2 linked regions of the Caenorhabditis elegans genome follow. The protein of the gene in region 1 interacts with the protein of each later gene in a pairwise test. Each region holds a gene or a part of one and is shown on either strand. Other genes may lie near its edges.

Region 1 (2,849 bases):
TGAAATGATTGAGTCTTTACCAAAGAGCACAAATACCGATGTCTGTGATATTCCATCGAGAGGACTCAAGACATCTGCTACTTTCATTGCAAACTCCACTGCAATCCAGGAACCACTCAAACGTATTTCTAAGCAGTTTGCAGGTGAGATTTCATAAGTTTAGAAGTTAGAGCAAATTGTATGAAACTACTCTACAGGCCTGTTCCGTCGCAAAGCATTCCTTCATTGGTACACGATGGAAGAGTCGGAGTTCACTGACGCCGAGAACAAAGTGAATGATCTTATCTCGGAGTTCCAACAATATGAGAAAGTTCATTCAGCCTAACTTCTCCGTGTTGAGATTTCAGTTTGATATCGAAAAAATTTTCTTAAATGATTACCAAATATAGTGGGAAACCACATCAGATAATGAACAATATTATACGTTGAATTATAATCGTTTCAGATATTTATTGATTGAAACATTCATAGGCAGAGTTAAACGAGAAAAAGCCCGAAGGCAGGAAATAATAATCATTTATTATTTAGTGTTTCAGATTATTTGGTGATTTAGATCTATTTTCTCATTCGGCAGTGATCTTCACGATGACTTCACCTTGCTGTGCTCCAGCTTTGAATGGTGCTTGAGGATCAGTCTCATCGGCTGGCACTTCAGCATATTGAATGACAAGCTTGTCAACTTTTGGTGGTCCAGCAATACGATTGATATCCAACTTGGTTTTTCCCTTCGGATCAATGAATCCGTAGACGGGACGAACACGGTAGTGCTCATTGTTCGACGATTTCACCTTGAATGCCAAACGAGAATCCGACTCCGAGACGATGTTGTGAACCGAATTACCTCCAGATGCAGGGAAGTTTCCAGTTGGTGGGTCGACGTTGATCATTCTTCAAAACGACGGTAATGGTCTTCAACTTCAAAAGAAGGGAATAAATCGTTTTAATCAATTTTGCCAGAATGTTGACATTTAGATAACCTTTACTGATAAAATAATCAGGCTACGTGAATGATGTGGAAAATTTAAATTTAAAAAACAATTAAACAAGAATTTGAATTATTTTTAGTTTCTATTTTTCTACTCGTTGTTTCATCATGTGGGCGTTCTTCTTCCTGTGGTTAGTTCAATTTTATTGTCAACTCGAAATATGTTCTCACTAAATGTTAAAATTAGAACTTCAATCTCGTTTCCTCCGAAGGGATGATACGGGCACTCAGGTTTACAGTAATGTAGGAAAGTAAGGTAACTGGAACGTAGCTAGGCGAATACGTACGAAGGCGTAAATTATAGATAGACACGTTCTGAAAAAGGGGCGGCCCTTATAAAACATGAAAGCCACAGCACACATCTGAAAAATTCTAGAAAAAAATATATCAAGTTGGTTATTTTCTAGTATTTTCTAGTTAAATTTTTTCCAGGATGACACTAACTGTAATTACATTTCTTTTGATCATCGGTAGATGTACAATTCTCATTTATCTTGTCTTCTGTGTACCAATTCTAATGACAATCCTCTAATGACACAAGTGAATCTAGTTCGGTAAATACACTTGTTACAAATAGTTCGTCCATTTTTATTATTTTAGCATCGAGAAGTATTTTTCAAGAAGTTGAATTTTGGCGGACATCGTGGATCACCAAAAAGAGCTCCTGAAAATACGATTGAAAGTTTGAAAAAAGCAAAGGAAGACGGTTGTGATCTTGTTGAATTTGATATTCATATGTCATCGGATGGAGTTCCACTCTTAATGCATGACGATACAACTGAACGGACTGGAAATGCAAAGCTGAAAGTTGAACATTCCACGTGGCAACAATTGGAAGCAGTTGTATTGAATCCTGTTAAGTGAGCAAGTTTTCAATTTCGATTAAAAAATTCTAAAAGTATTTTAGCGGAGTTAATGCAAAAATTCCACGACTCAATGAAGCAATCGATTTTTGTGTGGAGAATGGACTGAAGATGTTATTTGATATGAAAAATGATAACTTGAAGCTTATGGAAGCAGTTTCTGAAGAAATCAAAAAACGAAATCTATATGATCAGGTCATGGTTAGCAGTTTCAATCCAATTGTCCCGTGGAGGCTAAAGAAAATTGATCCAAAAATTATCACTGGTATTATTTTTTCTTTTGAGAACATGCCTTTAACATATTCGTTTTTTTTCAGGAATCACTGTCGATAGATCTTATTATTCATACAGCGATGATCACAGAAAAAGTCCATTCTCCACAAGTTTCTTTGCTCATTTTTGGAATGAAATTCTTGATGAGATTAATATGATTATTCAACCACTCTATATTTTACCCAGATTTCTAGGAGTTGATGTGGTTATGATCAGTTTTCAACTGATTTCAGAGTAAGAAAATTGATTTTAATATAACATTAAAATGAATCAATTTTCAGAAACGCCGTTCGGGAATCAAACGAAAAAGGATTTTCAGTCATTTCGTGGACAGTAAATGATGAAGATTACATGAGAATTCTTACAAAACTCAATGTTCCATTCTTGACGGATATTGGTTCTGAAGTTGATCGGAAAATGTTTATGAAAAAATAAAACTTTTATTTAAAATGTTTTGCTAAAGTCCCGATTAGATTAACAGATGTGTAAAAGATGTGGTGCAGGTTGGAAACGACATGGTTCAATTTAATTCATATATTTTATTGTTTTAGGCAATTAATTTCAAGTTTAATCCGTATTAATTTTCGGCGTGCACTCTTCCAAGTTGGTGAAACTTCAAATAAAGTCTGGATCTAGATTACAACAAGTTACCGTAAAAATTCATTCAAAAACAAAGCTCGAGACATGGAAAAATAATAATTTGACGTTCTGTCAAATTTTTAATTCCA
Region 2 (3,158 bases), on another chromosome or scaffold:
GGGGCTTGCATCGTACGACTGTGTAGTTGATGTACGAAATGAATAAAACTTTGAATTTTTTCCCTGGAATCGTGGACTTACACTTTTATTTATTTGACAATTTATATATATTTAAAATGCCATGATTCCACTATAAAAAGTTCAAATTTCAAAAAAATTTATAAATTTCAAAAAAAAAATTGAACTTTTAACGTGAACTTTTGAATTCCCCTTACCTCCCCCTTGCCACACTAACAATTTATTGCTACATACTCGTCCGACAACCTCAACCGTCGGATTAAACAATCTGCTCAATTGATTGGTTAGCTATGGCTTCCTCGTTCGACAACCAAATGGATCAGGATGGAATGTGCTCCGTGTACTCTGCTCAGCCATCGGAGACAAATTGCTCCATCAATGAGGTGCTTGCCAAAGAAATTATCGCTGTCAATGAGACGCCAGATGATCGTAAGTTTTTATTGTCTTTTTTTTGGGAATATTGAGTTTACAGAAGCTGATTCTTCGATCTACCCAATCCCAAAATCAGAAACAAATGTGTCAGCTAGCGAAGGGTTCCAGCCATGTCAAGATATCAATCAATTCAATTTGTCCGTTTACTCTGCTCCAAAATCCGAGACCCCAGTGACCATGAATGAGAAGTTCGAGCGGTGCAAAGACTGTAAGTTAACTGCAACAACTCTATCTTGAAAAACCAAAAATTTTCAGTGATGAACGTTCTTGACTACTCTGTCTACTCAATGCCACCATCAGAAGCAAATGTTACAATGAATGTTGCAAGCTTCTCGGAGTACACTGCCCTTGCCTCGGAGACCAACGTCACAATGGCTGATGTTCTCAAGAACGTTGCTCAGGATTTGGCGTCAGAGCACACTGCAAAATCAGCTCATCCAACATTCGACACCACCGCCTACGTAGAGCGCCTTCAAGCCGAGCTCGGGATTCCGGATAGCAAAGTGATTGGATTGGAGTGCAGCAATTTTTCGAATGCGAAGATCATTGATTCAATTGAATGCCTTCATCAGTTGGACAAATTCCAACCAATCCCGGTGGATTTCGATCAGAATCCTGATTTTGGAAAAACTGGTAAGAGTGAAGTTTATTTAAGAAATAATATTTTCAATTTCAGCCAAATCTGTGGAAAGCTACCTCTTGCGTTCATCCAATGCCAGTTCAATCCATCACGAGATCTGAAGAATCGGAACAAATTATTGAACTTGGTCTATAAAAAATGTCGAATCATTTTTGTTGTTGTCTATGCATTCGTAATTTCTTGGTTTTTTGTATAGCAAATTTTTTGATGACTATTACGATAGTTCATGGAAACGAGACTTGTGCCTGGCCGCCTTTTGCACACATGAAAGCGAGGCGGACAAAATGAGCCCCGTCATGGCTCCCGGGTTGAACACCTAACAAGACGGGAATTCTTCTAAAAAGAGTTGTCTTATCCCTATAAATCTGAAATTTGCATCAATTCTTCACCCGCCCTTGTTGCGATCTACCAGCCTCGTGGTTCTAAGTTACTTCTACCATGCTATTTAATGTTAACTGTACATAAAATGTGGTGCTTCTTCTCAATTTCCATTATTTCCTACTTTTTGAGAGAACTGTTCGAAAGGAGTTGCCTCTGTGAGCATCTATAAATTCTTTGTACAAGTTTTCACCAATCACGTGGCAACCGTGTTCTTTAAATTTTTATAAAATTAAATGTTTTCACGTCTTTCCTACTAATGCCTCAATGTTCATTTTCTTATATTCAAAATTTCATTTCAAAAAAATTTTCAAATCGATCACATCTCGAGAGATCATAATCATGGAGTGTTCTCAGGAAGATGTCGTCAATGGTAATTTTACTGAGTTTGTCATGCCGTCTGAACCGTAGAATTTCAGATTTCATTGCTCTCGAAAAGATTGGTTCAGAAGTGGATATCAATTTGGATGGAGTCATCAAAAGCAAGGAGTGTAGTAACACGAACGAAGCAGATATTATTAGTAACTGTGAGTTGCCTTTAAACGATTTCAGATGATCTTGAATCACCAGATTTTTCAGTGATAACCGCAATCGAAGAATCTTTGAGTTGTACATCGGTCTGCACAGCTGTATCATTGGAGACAGTGGCACAAAAGTTGGATGCCTATGCAGATCCTTCTTTGAATACTCAGATGTCTTTCAGTACAGCATCGGATTTGAGTTCTATGGAACAAGATTATGTTAAAGGTGGGATTCCGTCTCAATTAAATTTTAAAAAATTTATTTTCAGCTTCAGATGATCCTTTCGACCTCAATCATCAACCGTCGCCGCTCCAAGTCTGGCGTGATCAAGGCAAAATCACCGGATTTCAAATGATGTGTGATGATCAGAAGGTTACTGTAGTTGATTCTCTGGAGTGCTTAGCTCAATCGGAGCAACATTTGGAACCAGTTTACTTCGATCCACGTGTCAACCTTGCTATTCCGTGCCCGCCAGATGATTTTGAGATTCTTGAAGACTATGGTTCAACATCCAATGCATCAGTCAATTCGGATGACGCTTCAACCGCAGAACTTGGTCCGACGTCTGAAGAGTTTGAAGAATGGGTTCGGAAAATTGAACAGAACTATTGAATAGCTATTTGATAAAATACATTTTTTCTCATTGAAGATAATAGTTTTGCATATCTGACTCTGCGTCTCCAAAGTCTAAAACGAGTTGAAAACAACAACTGCCTAGGCCCCCTGTCGCCTCGCGTGTGCACATTATACTCTTTCTACTTTTGTTCCTCGCGCTCTCTTTTTCTAGTTTTCGAACACTCTCTGCATATCAAGAATATTCAAAGTGTTTTCTTTCTCTGTTTGATCTCCGGAAATTGCTCCAAATTTACACAAATTTGTGGTCAATTGGTGTCATCGCGCTGTTTCTTGTTTCGTATTCGTTTTTCGTATTTTAAACGAACATTTTCGTTTTCAACAACGACAATAACGAAATTTCCCATTCATTTCATACACTCGAATATTTTTTCTTCGTTTCCAGAACTTGCCATGAATATGCTCCGCTGCTTTCCGGAGTGTGGGATTTGCGGGCAGGAGTATTCAGAAGACGAAAAGCTCCTAATCCCTAGAATTTTGACTGGTACACCGTGTGTTTTGATTCTTAATTAAAAATTATTTTATCTTCCAGAAT

What was found.
Region 2: the proteins of ssp-35 (region 1) and ZK945.6 interact in a two-hybrid assay, tested with the Caenorhabditis elegans proteins (one large-scale study listed by BioGRID).

What each region holds. Positions count from the first base shown.
Region 1 is NC_003283.11:12,262,937-12,265,785, forward strand, and holds ssp-35 (MSP domain-containing protein), read right to left. Parts: upstream 888-2,849; coding exon 564-887; downstream 1-563. Other genes in the region: tbb-6 (Tubulin beta chain), read left to right, coding at 1-143, 198-325.
Region 2 is NC_003280.10:10,105,555-10,108,712, reverse strand, and holds ZK945.6 (Ovule protein), read left to right. Parts: upstream 1-1,742; 5' UTR 1,743-1,810; coding exon 1,811-1,841; intron 1,842-1,887; coding exon 1,888-1,995; intron 1,996-2,047; coding exon 2,048-2,215; intron 2,216-2,258; coding exon 2,259-2,602; 3' UTR 2,603-2,633; downstream 2,634-3,158. Other genes in the region: ZK945.8 (PPP1R11/YPI1 family protein), read right to left, coding at 1-11; ZK945.7 (uncharacterized protein), read left to right, coding at 309-447, 491-658, 706-1,083, 1,127-1,191; putative RING finger protein ZK945.4, read left to right, coding at 3,017-3,107, 3,156-3,158.